2 linked regions of the Stegostoma tigrinum genome follow. The protein of the gene in region 1 interacts with the protein of each later gene in a biochemical or structural test. Links are inferred from orthologs where the notes say so. Each region holds a gene or a part of one and is shown on either strand. Other genes may lie near its edges. The genes, in order: poly [ADP-ribose] polymerase tankyrase-2-like and lnpep.

Region 1 (9,383 bases):
TTAGTGCATGAGAAATCATGTCTGATAAACTTGAATGAGTTTCTTGAAGAGGTGACAAAGAAGATTGATGATGGCAGAGCGGCAGATGCTGTATATATGGACACCAGCGACGCGTTCAACAAGGTTCCATATGATAGACTAATTGGTACTGTTAAATCACATGGGATTTGGGGGAGGTAGCCAGTTGGAAGCAAAATTAGCTTAAGGGTAGGAGACAGGATGGTGGGAGAGGGTTGTTTAATGGGACTTTTACTTAAAAACCATACAGTCTCTATGCCAGGTGTGCTTGATGGAATTGCTGCAAAGGGAGTTTTTTTTATAACTTAAAATGAGTAGAGAAACTTTCCACTGGATTTTGAAACCCCATTGTCCTTGTCCTGATTGCTTTCGATGGGCCCAGAGCAGAAATCTGATTTCAACTGAGTTGAGCAAAGTATGTTTTATATTTTGGTCTCTTCTTGTCCTAGGAGAAAATAGTGGGGACGGAGTGAAGGGAGAGCCATTTCTCATTTATTTTTGCTTTCCCCATTTTCATTCAACAAAGACAAGAAAGCATGCCTTCTGTTTCAAACGAGTACAGTGTGCTTTAGTCTGTATTCCATTCAATGCTGTCCCTATCCCTGGAACATCTGAAGGAGGCATTTGAAAATGGAATAGTTGGTAGACAGGGTGATGAAGGAGGCATTTGGTACACTTGCCTTCATTGGTCAGAAGATTGAGTATTGGGGTTGGGACATCATGTTGTGGGCTGTACAGAACATTGGTGAGACCACTTCAGAATATTGTGTACAATTCTGGTCGCTCTGCCACAGAAAGGATGTTATTAAACTTAACAGGATGCAGAAAACATTTACAAGGATGTTGCTGGGACGGAGGGTCTGAATCATAGGGAAAGGCTGTACAGACTGGGTTTTTTCCCCGGAGCCTCAAATCTTGAGGAGAATGGATAGAGTGAATTGCCAATGTCTTTTTCCAAGGTTAGGGGAGTCCAAATCTAGAAGGTATAGGTTTAAGGTGAGAGACTGTAAATTTAGAAAGGACTTGTCAGGTAACCTTTTGACACAGAGGATGGCGCATGTATGGAATGCGCTGCCAGAAGAAGAAGGGGAGGTTGGTACAGTTACAACATTTAAAAGGCATCTGAAGGAGTATGTGAACAGGAAGGGTTTAGAGGGATATGGACCAAATGCTGGCAAATGGAGCTTGGTCAGTTTGAGAAGTCTGGTTGGAATGGACGAGTTGGGTGGAAGGGTCTGTCTTTATGCTGTGAGACTCTATGACTATCTGAAATAAAAACAGAAATTGCTGGCACAACTCAGCAGGACTGGCTGAATATGTGCGGAGAAAGCAGAGTTAATGATTCATGTCTGGTGACTCTTCATCAGAACAGCCCTTCTACATAACTCAGTTTGAGGTAAAATAGGGTTAAAATGATCCTGATTAGCTCAAAAAATTCCAGGTTTTTTTCCTCTAAAGTACAATTCAATTCATAGAAAAGTGAGCAATCAATAAACATTACCAAGGAAACAATCACAGACCCGAATATTAGGTTGTCAGAAAAGAAACACTGTGCACGAATACATTTTTGATTTACACACTCAGCATAAGAGACGTCTGTCTAGAAGTACAAAGTCAGAACATGACACCTATCATCGCACAGTTGATATCATCATATGCATTGGAGTGGCCTAAATTTATCATTGTTGCTACGGTACATTTATTTAAAAGGCAGCAATTATTAAAATACATTCTACAGTACAGCAGTGTTTTCTAGTGAAAGCCATTGTTATAACAGAAATAGAGGACCTTCTAGCAAGAAAAATAAAAGTTGTGGAAGGTTTTATTTCAAACCTTATCTTTGAGATTTTTTTTATTGCTTCCTCCTGATGCTGGTCAATTGTGTCAGAGACATTTCCAATAAAATAATGAAAGTACAGTGATTGTAGATTTCTAGTTTAAAGGTTATTTTCTTTCTCTTTTCTTCTGCTTCCTAAGATAATACGTAATGGTTCCATGACTATTGAAAGTCCTTCGCTTCTACATCTGATGGAATACTAATTTCAGGCATTTTGAGATTTTGTGTTAACAGCAAACAACATGCCTGCTGACAGGGCAGGCTCAGAAAACAATCATTATGTGAACAGAGTGCAGGTACTGAGATAACGAATAATCATGCCATAATCAATGCTTGGTTGTACAACCTGAGCCTGGATTTTTGCCAAACTGGACTGATTTGAGAGCTATGTAAATATGGTCGGCAGGATATGATTCTGAGCTTCCTATTTCCATTTCCAGCTGTTTTCATCAACGTGGGACAAGGATGCAGTAGCAATCCTCTGTGTAGAAACACCTCCCCTGATGGCTTCATTGGGTGCCGTTCAACTCCCCAAACACAACTTCGATGAAGTTGGACCCCTCTGGCATATAGACATGGTTCACAACCCTTCAGAGAAATTGTGAACCAGTGGGAACAACAGATTCAAGTAATCAAAACAGAAAAAAAGGGCATTCAATATTTATGTTGAACTATATTGGCCTCTTAACATCTCATATAGCTATAATCAGTCACAGTCCTATCTAGTTTCAAAGTCAGATATTTTTATTTACCCACACCTTTTAATCCTGCATATAAATAATCCTGAATTTAAAAAAAAAGCAGTCGAAATACTCTTCAAAGTCACAGCAGACCCTTAGAAGGTAACAGAAATATCAATCAAGCAACAAATTCCCTTACCTCTGCAGTTGTATAATGCCCTAGGTGCATTAGCCATTGTTAGAACTCAGCCAACTATTCATAATGACATCACCTGCTATATCTCTTTTGTTCATACACTTGTTTATACAGCAGCACACACTATGTTGACTGACATCAGCATCTGCAGTTTTTGGTATCTTCTCATTAGTAAACAGAACTGTTGTTTTGACAAGGGACCATGACTTGTCATTTCACTGTGATCCTGTCTTTCTCACATTGTAACAAGGTTCCCATATGACAATTTTCCTGTAATAATTAGTTACTTCAGTAATCCCTTCACTTGGAATATCTGTATCATATTTGTTCCTTTAATTATAATGTTATTCCATTTTAAAGTTACATTTTTATTATTGTCTCTGACTGCACCTTTCCTTCATTTATTATTGTAAAGTCCCTTTCTCACACTAATTCTCTTTTCTGTTCAGAACAATTCTCAGTGGTACATTACTGCTGTCTCTGTAATGCTGCCAGAACCCTGCAAAATTCCACGCCACCTCACACCACCCTTTTAGGTTATTTTACATTTAATTAGAAAATAAGGGTCACTGTCACTGACTCGGCCAGCATTTACTGTCCATTTCTAACTATTTGGTAACATGCAGGTGGTGCTGTTTCTGTGTATCTGCTGCTCTCAACCTTCTAGATGGTAGTGGTCATGCATTTGCAAAGTGTAATGTGAGGATACTTGATGAGTTGTTATAGTTGCATTGCATCTGTCAATGACACAAACTGCTGCCACCAGTTTCTGGTCAAATGGTAACTCCCACAATGTTGATCATGTGCAATTCAGCAATGGCAATGCCATTGAAGGTCAAAGGTTATGGTTGAATTTTCTCTTGTTAGAAATGGTCATTGGGGCTGTGATGATTGACTGCCAATCACCGCAACTACTTCGCTTTCTGCACCCTTAGTCACATGATTATCTTCCAGCTCTTTCTTGCCCTCTGACAGCTAGTAAATGGCTTGTGTAATATTCCTGAGATCATCACAGTTGAGCCATTGACTTCTAGGTTATCTCCTAACTCCTAATATTCCATCAAGAGAAATTACTCCATTTCTTCCCTGTTATCATTAGATCTGATCATTTCCAGCCACACTGAGATTTCTCCTGCTGAGGTTCTCAATCGTAACCACTGAAGATGCCAACCATCTTTCTAACGAGTGAGTCCTCTAGAAGTACATTTTTCCTATTCTGGTCCTCCTACCTTGCCTCCCTCAAACTGCATCTTGAACACCTTGCTGCTCCATGGTGCCGAAGTCAGCACTGTGACTTCTTTCCCCAAGTCTTTTTGCTTACCCTAACAAATATCAAGTACATTGTACCTGTTGGACAGAACAGTGTCTGCAGGATCTCCTCCTCTATCTCCCCCTAGTTGACCTTACTCTGCTAGCGGTTTTCAATAAGCAATAATCGCACCTTGGTTAAACCCCATTGGCCACAATACTGCCACTGTGCGTAGTGAGATGCTCAAAAACAACAAAAGGAATGCTGGAAGTCTGATACATACACCAAAACTGCTGGAGAAACATCTTCCTGAAGAAGGGTCACTGGACCTAAAATGTTAACTTTGCTTTTTATCTACAGATGCTGCTAGGTCTGCTGAGTTTCTGCAGCAATTTCTACATTTGTAACAGTCTGACTCTCACCTTCTTTTGCACATCAAAGTTGTGATTGTATTCCAGGCAAAAACTAACCAGAAATTCCTACCATCTTATGTATTGAAATATCTTGAAATCAAAGGATTTTGAGTTGTGCATCAAAACAGTGGTGTTTACTGCAAATCTGGCTTTCCGGATCAGTCTCAATATCTACAAACTCTCACATAATGGTTCCAGGGCAGACTGTACTGCACTGTAATTTCCAAGGGGAAGGGAGGGTATTGCTGTAATTTAACTCTTAAGTGAAATCAAATTATTTGTTCACATTACAGTTTGTAGACAGATTTGGCATAATTTCAGGATAATTTGTGACTAATGTGCAAGATATTACATAAAAGCGTGTAATTTCAATTGAGAAATTTTAGGGGGATGATATCACTTCTTAGTGCATGTACATTCAAGTGAGTGTCATAACAGCTTTGTGTTTTAATTAACAATAAAAGAGCTACAACAATAATAGGAACAAAAGAACTGAGCATGCTCTGAAGATCTGAAATAAAAACAAAGGAAAGACCCCATTGGTCCAGCAGCATCTGTGGAAATATGAAACAGGGCTAATGTTTGAATACAATATGACTCTTTAACGTTGCCCAATACTTTTATCAAGATCATGGCTTTCAAAAAGTAACTGAATCTCACGATTACGGCGTAGGAGGAAGGTGATCATTTGGCTCATCGTGTCTGCACCTGTTCTCTGAATGAGTGTTACGACAATGTGCCATCCTCCTCCATGTTAATTCCCCATACCCTTGAATATTCCAGTTAACTAACCATCAGTTGTAGGCAGAGCTTTAGGACCATGGAGCAACCTCACAATGATGTCACGGAGTTGCTTCCTACAACGGTATAAACAGCACAGTACGGGTGGAATTTAAGATAGGAGTAGATAGGCGGGAAAAAAAACATAAGAACTAGGAGCAGGCAACCCAGCGCCTTGAGCCTGCTTTGCTATTTGATATGATCATGGCTGATCATAGAAGATCATTAGAGTTTAACGAACAGTTGCTTAACAAAAAGGTGAGAACCTGGTATATCTTTCCGGAAATGGTTGTGCATGGTATTATCAAAGGATGAAGGCTCGTAAAGAGTTAACTTTGCTTCCCTCCACCTGCCTATCTACGAACTGCAATCTCAGGTGTGCCCTTAAAATCATAGGTCGGGATATCGTTTTTGAATAAGGCTACCTTCAGAAACCAATTACGATTCACTTGCTTTCTACTTCTGAGAAGGAACGGGAACTCTTACCTGAACATAATAACTTGCTGTCCCCTCCATCCGAGAGATGGTAAAACTGCACATGCGTCTTTCCTTAGCAGTCGCCGGCTATGCTCACGTGACGCTGGCCGTTGCTTGCGCGCGGGACAAAAGGCTGGGGGGGAGCTCGAGCTGCTCCTGCTGATGGTTTGTGGTGGGGGGTGGGGCGCAGAACATCACGTCTCCCTTTACCTGCTTCCATGGCGTCTCGTCGCTGCCCCGGAGTGGCAGGTTCCTCTTCCTCCAGCTCGGGGGAGCATCGATCGACTTCGATATCAGCTCATCCTGACCCGACCAGAGTGCTGTTCGAGAGTTGCAGGAACGGGGATGTGGTCCGGGTGAGGAGACTGCTAAGGGCTGACAATGTGAACGCCAGGGACACGGCAGGGCGCAAGTCGACCCCTTTGCATTTTGCTGCGGGTAAGTTAAAACCGTGCTCTGCACCCCTCCCTCCGCAGCACGGTATGGCGGCCTCGGTCGAGGCCCGTATTCATTTGCTGAAACGTGAAGTTGCTATTTTCTTTTATTTTCCGTTTGCTTTCTTTTTTGCACGTCGATCAGATATTGTCTGTTTGTGTGGATTCGCCCCAAGTCCGCAAGTGAACTTGGTGCAGAAGTTTCAAAATGTAATTTTTTGTGGATGTTGATTTGCGACTGTTCATCATTCCGCCATTCATACCACTTGCAAAATTTTTGTTTTTTGCTTCATTACCACTCTATTAAGCCAGTCATACTGCAGGTAGGGGATGATTGACCACCAGACAGTCCCAAGACAACTAGACAGGTAATACAGCAGTCCCAAGATCCCACACAAGAACCTGCTTTCTATTCCGGATACAATATCAAAAATACATAACCAGAAAGGGCTGCAATCCCTTGGTGTTCCGAGATAATAAAATGTGAGGCTGGATGAACACAGCAGGCCAAGCAGCATCTCAGGAGCACAAAAGCTGACGTTTCGGGCCTAGACCCTTCATCAGAGAGGGGGCTGGGGAGAGGGAACTGGAATAAATAGGGAGAGAGGGGGAGGCGGACCGAAGATGGAGAGTAAAGAAGATAGGTGGAGAGAGTATAGGTGGGGAGGTAGGGAGGGGATAGGTCAGTCCAGGGAAGACGGACAGGTCAAGGAGGTGGGATGAGGTTAGTAGGTAGATGGGGGTGTGGCTTGGGGTGGGAGGAAGGGATGGGTGAGAGGAAGAACCGGTTGGGGAGGCAGAGACAGGTTGGACTGGTTTTGGGATGCAGTGGGTGGGCGGACAGAGCTGGGCTGGCTGTGTGGTGCAGTGGGGGGAGGGGACGAACTGGGCTGGTTTAGGGATGCAGTAGGGGAAGGGGAGATTTTGAAACTGGTGAAGTCCACATTGATACCATATGGCTGCAGGGTTCCCAGGCGGAATATGAGTTGCTGTTCCTGCAACCGTCGGGTGGCATCATTGTGGCAGTGCAGGAGGCCCATGATGGACATGTCATCTAGAGAATGGGAGGGGGAGTGGAAATGGTTTGCGACTGGGAGGTGCAGTTGTTTGTTGCGAACTGAGCGGAGGTGTTCTGCAAAGCGGTCCCCAAGCCTCCGCTTGGTTTCCCCAATGTAGAGGAAGCTGCACCGGGTACAGTGGATGCAGTATACCACATTGGCAGATGTGCAGGTGAACCTCTGCTTAATGTGGAATGTCATCTTGGAGCCTGGGATAGGGGTGAGGGAGGAGGTGTGGGGGCAAGTGTAGCATTTCCTGCGGTTGCAGGGGAAGGTGCCGGGTGTGGTGGGGTTGGAGGGCAGTGTGGAGCGAACAAGGGAGTCACGGAGAGAGTGGTCTCTCCGGAAAGCAGACAGGGGTGGGGATGGAAAAATGTCTATGGTGGTGGGGTCGGATTGTAAATGGCGGAAGTGTCGGAGGATGATGCGTTGTATCTGGAGGTTGGTAGGGTGGTTTGTGAGAACGAGGGGGATCCTCTTAGGGCGGTTGTGGCGGGGGCGGGGTGTGAGGGATGTGTTGCGGGAAATACGGGAGACGCGGTCAAGGGCGTTCTCGATCACTGTGGGGGGAAAGTTGCGGTCCTTAAAGAACTTGGACATCTGGGATGTGCGGGAGTGGAATGTCTTATTGTGGGAGCAGATGCGGCGGAGGCGGAGGAATTGGGAATAGGGGATGGAATTTTTGCAGTAGGGTGGGTGGGAGGAGGTGTATTCTAGGTAGCTGTGGGAGTCGGTGGGCTTGAAATGGACATCAGTTACAAGCTGGTTGCCTGAGATGGAGACTGAGATATCCAGGAAGGTGAGGGATGTGCTAGAGATGGCCCAGGTGAACTGAAGGTTGGGGTGGAAGGTGTTGGTGAAGTGGATGAACTGTTCGAGCTCCTCTGGGGAGCAAGAGGCGGCACCGATACAGTCATCAATGTACCGGAGGAAGAGGTGGGGTTTGGGGCCTGTGTAGGCACGGAAGAGGGACTGTTCCACGTAACCTACAAAGAGGCAGGCATAGCTGGGGCCCATGCGGGTGCCCATGACCACCCCCTTAGTCTGTAGGAAGTGGGAGGAGTCAAAAGAGAAGTTGTTGAGTGTGAGGACAAGTTCAGCTAGGCGGATGAGAGTGTCGGTGGAGGGGGACTGGTCGGGCCTGTGGGACAGGAAGAAGCGGAGGGCCTTGAGGCCATCTCCATGCGGAATGCAGGTGTACAGGGACTGGACGTCCATGGTGAATATGAGGTGTTCGGGGCCAGGGAATTGGAAGTCCTGGAGGAGGTGGAGGGCGTGGGTGGTGTCACGGACGTAGGTGGGGAGTTCCTGGACCAAAGGGGAGAAAATGGAGTCCAGAAAGGTGGAGATGAGTTCGGTGGGGCAGGAGCAGGCTGAGACGATGGGTCGACCAGGGCAGGCAGGTTTGTGGATTTTGGGAAGGAGATAGAAACGGGCCGTGCCGGGTTGGGGAACAATGAGGTTGGAGGCTGTGGGTGGGAGGTCCCCTGAGGTGATGAGGTCGTGAATGGTGTTGGAGATGATGGTTTGGTGCTCGGGTGTGGGGTCATGATCGAGGGGGCGGTAGGAAGTGGTGTCGGAGAGTTGGCGTCTGGCCTCGGCGATGTAGAGGTCAGTGCGCCATACTACCACTGCGCCACCTTTGTCTGCGGGTTTGATGGTGAGTTTGGGGTTGGAGCGGAGGGCTGCCCGTTCTGCGGGGGAGAGGTTGGAGTGGGTGAGAGGGGTGGAGAGGTTGAGGCGGTTAATGTCTCGACGGCAGTTGGAGATGAAGAGGTCGAGGGAGGGTAGGAGGCCTGGGGGTGGTGTCCAGGAGGAGGACTTGTGTTGGAAGCGGGTGAAGGGGTCAGTGGAAGGAGGGTTAGGTTCCCGGTTGAAGAAGTAGGCATGGAGGCGAAGACGGCGGAAAAACTGCTCTATGTCCAACCGTGACTGGTATTCGTTGATGTGTGGTTGTAGGGGGACAAAGGTGAGCCCCTTACTAAGGACTGACCGTTCGTCCTCAGTCAGTGGGAGGTCTGGGGGGATGGTGAAGATGCGGCAGGGCTCAGTGTGGCTGTCTTCTCTGGGGTTGCTGGCTGTGGAGGTTGTGGGCGGAGCGATGAGGCCGTCGGCCGTGGGCGGATCGGGGTGGGCGGCAGCAGCTGCGGTGTGGGCGGGGTTCCGTCGGCCGTTGGAGGATCGGGGTGGGCGGCAGCAGCTGCGGTGAGGGTGGTGTTGGTGTTCCGGTAGTCTGTGATG
Region 2 (8,964 bases), on another chromosome or scaffold:
CTCAAATCTCTCTATGCTGCAGCTTTCTGCAGTCTTTCACCATTTAAATAATGTTCAACTCCTCTATTCTTCCTTTCAAAGTGTATAACCTCACAAACTCCAACATTTTTTAACTTATTCATTTTGTGGGATGTGGCTGAGGCTGGCGGGCCAGCATTTCTGGTCCATTCCTAGTTGGCCTTGAGAAGGTGATGGTGAGCTGCCTTCTCGAACCGCTGCAGTCGTCCTGCTGTGGGTTGACCCACAGTGCTATGAGGGAGAGAATTCCAGGATTTTGACCCAGCGCTAGTAAAGAAGTGCCAAAAGATTTCCCAGTCAGAATGGTGAGTGGCTTGGAGGGGGTGGTGTTCCCATATACCTGCTGCCCTTGATTTTCTAGATGGGTTGTTGTCGATTCAGATGGTGCAGTCTGGGCATCTTTAAATTTCTGCATTGTATCTTGTAGATAGTCACATGCTGCAGCTACTAAGTGTTGGTGGTGGAGGGAGTGGATGTTTGTGGATACAGTGCCAATCAAGCGGGCTGATTTGTCCTAAGTGGTTTCAAACTTCTTGAGCATTGTTGGGGCTGCACTCATCCAGGCAAGTTGGGATTATTCCATCACACTCCTGACTTGTGCCTTATTGATGGTGGACAGGCTTTCAGGAGTCAGAAGGTGAGTTACTCGCCTCAGCATGTGGTACAGCCAATTTTTCATCATAAACTGCTTTGTATTTTTTGAGGAATCTCACTTTATGTCTCTGTCGGTCTGTCTCCAGATATGAAAATACAGTGTCTAAATTCTCTAATATCTCCAAATGTATTAATCTCATAGGAGAAAGTTCTTTTTGCAATTTCTCCAATTCTCTTTGGCTCTTCTTATTTCTTCCTCTACTGCACTTGGTACTTCACACTTCTGTACATTCTCATTGCCTTCTCTACTGGTGTCATTTTAACATCTTCATATGATAATCGATTTTTTCCCTATGATCTGGAGTATCAATTTAATATGTTATGTCACTAATCCTTTTAATTATTTCATAGGGACGATTGAATTTTGCTTTAAATGACTAACTTTGCAAAGTCAATGGTACCAAAATTTCATCTCCTGCTTTAAAAATTATGGTTGTCATGTGTTTATCCTTCCACTCTTGCATCCTGTTTTGGAAAGTTTTCCAATGTTCCCATGAAACTCTACATGATCTGATGACCTTCTGAGAAATGTGGGCACATGCTCATTCCTTTGTAAGTACATGTACCAGTTTAGCACAGTTGTCTCCAACCCAAACTTCTCACTCACAAACTGAATGTTAAATTTTACCATGTTCATAGTCACTGTTCCTTAGGAAATAGTCTACTCTCAGATCATTAAAACCTACCTCTTTTAGCTTTAGAAATGTAAAGTTCACTTTTTAGCATGAAGTATCTTCCTGTTTGTTTCATTCCATTTTTGATTTATCCACACTTTATTGTTTGACATTCCTGATTCTGAACTCTTTCTTCCTAACAACTTGCTGCCTTGCAAAGTATCTGAAAATGAAAACATTCGAGTATGGAAGACATGCGTTAGAATATTAGTATGAGAAGTCTATGGTTGGTAATATTGGTGACTGTAATTCCGAATCCGGTCTTTTTGAGACTTTCTTGGAGAACTTTACAAATTATGTAAAACATACAAGAGCACTTGTATAATACATTTGATTACTGCAAGATTTGCCTTTTAATAATTTTGACTCTGATGCACGATGTGGTGTTCAGCGGTGTAGAACAAAGAAGATCGAGGGTTCATGAATATGCTGCAAATCTTTTGATGTAAAACAGCCAGGAATTATAGATCGCCAGTGAAGTCAGGCAAGGTCAGAGTGAAGCTTCATATTTTGTGTAGTTGGGTAAATTCATAGCTAACCACTATGAAACAGCAACATGCAAACAGCCGGAGCAACCCAAATAAAAGCGAGGTTGGGGAAGAACCAACAAGCTCCCCGCAGTCAACATGTTTGAATCACAATAGCTAGAAAGGCTGGCGCAGAGTGTAGCTCCCAACAGCAGGACCGTGTTTACTTCGACAGATTACAACAAATAGAAAACCGCGTCTGCAAACCACAGGTCGCTCTGCAGTATGTAGCTCGTCGATCGACCTACAGCGCCTGGAGGAGGAACAGCTTGCAAGTGCAGAAGAGGAAGGAAATACAAGTTAAGATGGTCGACATCTGGCTGTCTTTCTTAAACTGTGAGATTTGCAAAGATGACCACATAAGGAAGAGTTGCCTGGTCGTTCAGGAGGCCTTGTACATTTAAAAATGTCCTCAAGGAAAGAGTAGGTGACATTTCAGCTGGCCCAGTCAGGATGTATTTATTGCTGTAGTCAGTAGGTGTTGTAGTACGGGCGGCTTGTTTATATCGTTGCCACAGTCTCCAATACTGCGTGCCTGGGTTTGCTGAGAAGGATCGGGATTAAGAGCGGAAGGCCACAGGCACAGCCATGGAGCCAGGTTTTCAGAGCGGTGAGTACACCAGGCTCAGTGTTGTCTGCCGATTTGTGACATCGTCTTTGTATCAATAGGTGGGTAAGAAATGTCACAAAGTTAGTAGCAAACTGTTGGGCGAAGGACCCCATGGAAATATTTGAAAGGGCAGACAAACATGCATCATCCAGTCTCAAAGCTGATACTGTGAAATCTAATTTTGCTTTTCAATTGGGGAACACAGGCAATTCATTTTGATGCTCGACTCGGGCATTGATCTGTCTGTTTATTTTTCCACCGTACGTGAAGTCTGTTTAACGCCCTCATTTCACGTTCTTTTAGGGACAAGCTGATGCACGTAGATAAATCACTCCATTCCCACTTTCCTGACTGGTTCCAACCTTTCCCTTAACCGCCATCCCACGCTTTCCCTTTCAATGGGAGTTTACCTCCAACCTCTGGAACAAACGGGATTTCTTGGAGCCGGGGTGGTTCACGTCTACAGTTACACACAGGTGTAATAAATGTAGGGCAGAAATCTGTTCAGAAAGTCACTTCATGTAGGTGGTTTTTGACCTGCAGACATTAACTGAAAGACTCCTTTGTTACAGACTTGAACTTTTTTTTGCAAGTTCTTTCTATCTTCTTGTATTCCATATCTGTTATTGCTGGGACGGCTCTTTTATGGTGGTATTTTATAATGCAACCGCCTGCTTCTGTGGAAGGTTTCATAAACGTTATTTCCAATGCTGTTTAAAACTAACTCCTGCTTCTCGTTTTACGTCTTTCTGCCAGCCGTTCCGAATCATAACTACGATTGACCATTCATGTTGCAAAACATTCTCCATTTCTGACTTGCAAGTCTTGCGAGTCTGCATTTGTGTATAGTAAAGGGAAATTTAAATTTTGGCCATAATTAACCTTATAAAATCCCATGGAAAAACTGCAAGTTACAAAGAGTTTGTATTTGTGGAAGCTCTTAAAATGAGTTTGGATATCATCCCAACCATTTATTCTGTGATTTGAATGACGGAAGCAATAGCTCACAATTATACAATATGTAAATTTTGCTGACAATATTGCAACTAAATGAAGACTTTCAATTTGATCTTTTCACGACTAAATCGAGCAATAACAGTATTAGAAGTCTAATGCAATAATTTTCACGTGATTTAAGAAAAGCTGATTTTTCAGTTCGCAACAGTTCCTTTCATTTGTGATTCCTTATTCAAAATGATGGCTTATGAGTTCAGATGGCATTGTGTTTGGAGGGAGGACAGTTTGCTTGCACTATTTATGATTGATGGGCCGCACCCTCGCTATGAAAGCAGCTGTCGTGCTTATCCAAGTCCCAAAGTGTGCAATATTCCTGTCTACTTGTGGTCATGAATTGTAAGTTTTCACGATAGTTTTTTTTTCAATTTAAAAATTCAAATTCTTAAAACTTTGAACAAGAATTATAAAACTTGTAGTAGAAAATTAATAGAATCCATAAGTAATGCACCTTGGTGTAGTTTCCGTTCGTGTACATTGGTGCAACATCCAGTCTGCTCAGCCAAGCTCCAGCAAATTGCATGATTGAAGTGTGAGAAGAGGATCTTACTGGAAGCTGAAGAAACACAATCTGGTAAAATGTTGGCCTCTTTTTTGACTTCGTATCTGGCAGTCCCCTAGCCTTAGATGTATCGTACATTCCTATTTTTGTCACACTTGCACCTGATTGGCTCACATTTTATCTCCCTTAAACAGCCAACTGACGGTGCGTAAACACCAAATGTGAATGGTGTCTGATGCCATCATTTCTGTCCAGGACTGAGGATGGGTGGAAGCAATGAATCGAACACATAAAATCTAATAATGACAGAAGCAAGTCAGATCAATAAAATTACTGCAAAATAATCTCTTGAAAAATCTTTCAGCTCCTGTGTTTTGTTTGTCGTTATTCAGTATGTAAACTTCAGGTTTCACCTACAATAAAAGAATATTTTAAACAATATTCCTGCTTTTAGCTAAATTTAAGTTTGCTGATTTGCACTGTTTCAGTCCTGCAACAGCTTTTTGTTTAAAATTCTCCTCATTTTTGATCCGTCTGTGGTCTTGCTCTTTATTTCTGTGTTGTGCTTGAAGGTCAATTTGTGCCTTAGAAGATGTTAATTTGTGCTTTGTGGCTTCATCTATTATATACATAAACTGATGATATGGGTACAATATTGAGATGATTTTGTTTCCAGCTATTTTGGGGTTTTCTTACCGTGCTATTTGTTTATTTTTAGGTTTCCTATTCATGTGTGCTGTTACTGATTTGTCAACATCTATTGTTGCCCTTTCTTCAGTTTTGTATGCGCAACTACTGATTTGCATTGTGTATGAGTCTGGAAACAATTTTTGTTTTGTAAGTCCGTGAACATTGTATTGTGTATGTTGTTTAACAAACAGATGTGTTTTTAATGGCCAGTATGATTGATCAAGTATTGACCATCTCTGAACTTGGCATTTAAACCTTACGTCTTGTCTCCAGGCAGAGAAAAGCCGAGAGAACTAACTACAAAGGAAATTTTGTTTTAGAAATGGTGAATATGATTTGCATTTGGATAAAAATGCTGTAACAAGATGAAAAACCCAATTATTCTTGATGACTTGGCTAAAAAGAAATTAAACGGACATGCATGAATATAAATTGAGATCTTGCCCGCATTCCTGCTGCTTTGGTATACTGCCATTGTTTGATTATTAACATACATTTAAATTACTTTGTAAATTCTTTTTATCTTGTTTGCCAGCATTCAAAAATCTGATTGTCTTTGAATTAATATTGCTGCCAATGGCATGTTTTAAGAGCACATTTATTTGGGGGAGTGTGCTTTAATGATGAACTTGTGAGAAGGCTGAAGTTATTGCCTACAGTCCATGCCACAACGTTTTTTTTCCCCCCTAACTTCTGACTCTATCCCTCTCATTTACAACTGCCTAAAATTGAACCAACCACACCTTTCAACCTTGGTGTGACATTTAACCCCAGGGTAAGCTTCTGATCACATATCTACATCCTCACAAAAATTAAGATTTACTATGCCTACCTGCATAATTGCCCAAATCCACAACTCTGCAGATGTCAAATGGCTGTCTTTTCAAAGCCTCGTCCAGAGGACCGGAGGACAGCTAATGCTCGAATATGCCCAAGAGGGTGCAGAGAAAATTTACAAGAAGGCTAGAGATTTTCACTTATCAAGAAAGATTGGATAGACAGAGATGACAAGGTGTGGACCTGGATGAACGCAGCAGGCTAGACAGCATCAGAGTAGCAGGAAAGCTGACATTTCGGGTCTGGACCCTTTAGAAGAAGGGTGTTACCTTGTTATCTCAGACTCCAGCAATGGCAGTTCCTACTATCTTGGATGGACAGGGGTTGTTTTCCTTAGAGCCCAGGAGATTCAGAGGAAACATAAATTATGAGAGGCTAAGGCAGAAAAAACCGGAAGAAACCTTTCCCTTTGATGGAGGGATCAGTGACCAGGGGTTATGGATTTATGGTAAGATTTAGAGGAGATGCGAGGAAAAGCATTTTCACCCAGAGAGTGGTGAGCATATGCAACTTGCAGCCTATAAAGGCAGTAGAGCAGAACTGCTCATAATATTTAAGAAGTATTTAGGTGTGCAGTTGTGAAGCCAAGGCACACCAGGCTATGAGCCAAGTGCTGGAAAACAGAATTAGAATAGTTAGATGGTTGTTTTTGACTGGCACAGACTCGATGAGCTGAAGGGTCTTTTTCCATGCTGTAGATCTCTATGACTCTGTGATTCATTTCTGTTTTTTATTACCTTTTAAAGTAGACTATTCCAACACATTCTTAGGTTAGCCTCTCATCTTCCATTCTCTGTAAACTCCAGGTCATTCTGTGTTCTCTTTTGCATGTGTCTTGATGTACAATAAGCCCTGCTCACCTATCACAGCTGTGCTATTTGTTGACATTGGCACCCAGTTAGGCAATGCCTTAATTTTTAAATTTTAATCTTATTCTCAAATCTCACCTTCATTGTCTTTCTCATTGTAACCTCTTCCAATGACAAGCCCTCAATTTCTCCAGTTGTTGCTTTTTGTTAATGCAAATTTTAACCCTCCACCATTAGTGACTGCTTTCAGTCTCTCTTGGCCCTAAGTTTTCTCTCCTTTGCTTTGTTTTTGTTCCTTCTCTGCTTTTGGGTGGCAACTGTTCATGATCATGTCAATCATGCTTCTAGACATATGCTTTGTTTCTTTTTGTTTTGACTTGTCTCACCACTAGTCATGGCCTTACACCATGAGCCTCTTTATTATTCAATCTCTCTCACACTCCACCCTGTTGCAGACCTCACCTTTCGTTCATTGCGTTCCACCGTCATGTTAATTTCCTCAAAAAATGTTACATTTCTAACATTGCCCAATTCTGATGAAAAATCACAGACTTAGGAAAGAAAATCCTACACTTTTCTGCTTAATCTTTAAGGTGCTTTTTAAACATTTCTCTTCATTAAGCTTTTCACCTAAGACCTTCTTTATATGGCTGTCACTTTTGTTGTGATAATGCTCCAGTGAAGCACCTTAGGATATCTGCTACAGTAAGGCTGCTTGAAGATCAAATTTGTTTGGTGTCTTTAGGAATGCGTTGTTACCGTTCAATTGTATAAATTATTTGAAGATGCTGCTGGCTAAAAAAATCATGAAGTAAATGTGCAATATATTGATTAAATTTAATCCAGCCAAGTGAATGGGAATTATTTGATATGGCATTGATCGCGTCCATTTATTAGTCTATTTTTCATTGATTTCTGCAAGGTTTGCAGCCTGGGTTTCACTTCTGTGATTTAATAAACCTACTGACACTGGTCTTTCAAATTCTTCAGCTGTGTGTGATTCATTGCTAATGCAAGTGTATTAGCTTGGTTTCTGAGCCACTTAAAGAACAGTGCACAAAATGTCGGCAAATATTCCTGTTTGGTACAAAGTACAACATTGTCGCAAGATTTCACCCTTTTAAATGCAATTTCAAGCCGTGACGAAATGCGTATTTCAGTTGTTTAGATTGCTATTCAGAACAGAGCAGGCCAAGCAGCATCTTAGGAGCGGGGAAGCTGATGTTTCGGGCCTAGACCCTTCGGTGTAGGCCCAAAATGTCAGCTTTCCTGCTCCTTAGATGCTGCTTGGCCTGCTGTGTTCATCCATCTCCACACCTTGTTATAACTTAGGGGATCATTGGTGGAACTTCAGGAAATTGAAATCATCAGGAGTAAAAAATGCATTGAATAAAATTGACGGATTAACTCCATCAAACCCCCAGGATCTGATGGTCTTTTTCCTAGTTCTCAAAGAGGATGTTTCAGAAATAATGGATACACAGTATTATTCTGCAAAATTTCCTAGATTATAGTACAGTTCTTATGGATGAGTGACTGTAAATATGGTATCTCAGTTGAAGGAAGGAGAGAAGAGAAAAAACAGAGAACTACAGACCAATTAGCCAATTGGGATTTAAGAATAGAATTATCAAAAGATTATTTAGAGACCATTGATGACCTGTCCCCTTTGGTGGTATGAACAGCTTAGTGTCCATATCTAAGCAAGGCTGCATTGCCTTGGAAGTCGGGCAGTGGAAATTCATGGGGTTAGTTCACTTGATTAGTCTCTGGGATGAAAGTATTATCCTGTGATAGTTGAATAAGTTTGGTGAATATGCTGAGAAGTTTAAAAGTATGAATGGTGATATCATGGAAACACACAAGTTGCTGAGGGGAGTTGGCTTACTGAGAGGTTGTTTCCTTTGGCTAAGAAGTTTAGAACATTGGGAAAGCGCCGACAATCAGTTAATCAGTTTGGACAAAGATTAGGACAAAATGCACTCAAATGGTTGCCATTTTTTGGAAGTGTCTACTTCGAAGATTGTGGATTATCCACTTTAAACATACTCAATAATGAGATAATTACATTACTGATCATTTCAGGAATTAAGGAAAGTGACAAGCGGGCAGGAAAATGGAATTGAGACAGAGGTCAGCCAGAATTGCATTGAAAGCAGGAAAGCACACATGGCCTTATGTTTTTAGAGAGAAAAATGGGGAAGATTTGGGGGAAAAAAACTCTTGTATTGATCATAAAATCTGACTTGACAATTTGGACACACTTAGCCCTTTCTTAGCCGTGCAATTCTAAGACTAGCAGCAAGATTGTAAAAGGTTAAACTTGGCTCTGCCACAATTTGTGTAGTTGACAGCTTCAAAATAAATTAACCTGCCATTGTCCTTTTATCTCTCAAATATTGTATACTAATTTTGACATTATATTATGCAGATTTTATTTTGAACCTCCAATATCCATTTGCGAACCTTGCATTGATGAGTCTCTCTTCCTGTCCTTTCATACCCTTCCCCCACTGTAGCATAAGTTAGGCAGTGCAAAGACTCAACTGAACAGACAGAATTTACTTTCTGGATTGTAATTATTAAAATATGTTGGGTGAATATCAGGTGGATAAAGTTTTTGGACCCA

What was found.
Region 2: the proteins of poly [ADP-ribose] polymerase tankyrase-2-like (region 1) and lnpep form a complex in vitro, tested with the Homo sapiens proteins (4 studies listed by BioGRID and IntAct, with this or other methods). The link is inferred for Stegostoma tigrinum from reciprocal best matches to the Homo sapiens genes TNKS2 and LNPEP.

The regions. Positions count from the first base shown.
Region 1 is NC_081373.1:43,618,843-43,628,225, reverse strand, and holds the start of poly [ADP-ribose] polymerase tankyrase-2-like, read left to right. Parts: upstream 1-5,744; 5' UTR 5,745-5,868; coding exon 5,869-6,088; intron 6,089-9,383. UniProt on the Homo sapiens protein: Poly-ADP-ribosyltransferase involved in various processes such as Wnt signaling pathway, telomere length and vesicle trafficking.
Region 2 is NC_081356.1:87,374,105-87,383,068, reverse strand, and holds the start of lnpep (leucyl-cystinyl aminopeptidase), read left to right. Parts: upstream 1-5,275; 5' UTR 5,276-5,817; coding exon 5,818-5,974; intron 5,975-8,964. UniProt on the Homo sapiens protein: Release of an N-terminal amino acid, cleaves before cysteine, leucine as well as other amino acids. Degrades peptide hormones such as oxytocin, vasopressin and angiotensin III, and plays a role in maintaining homeostasis during pregnancy.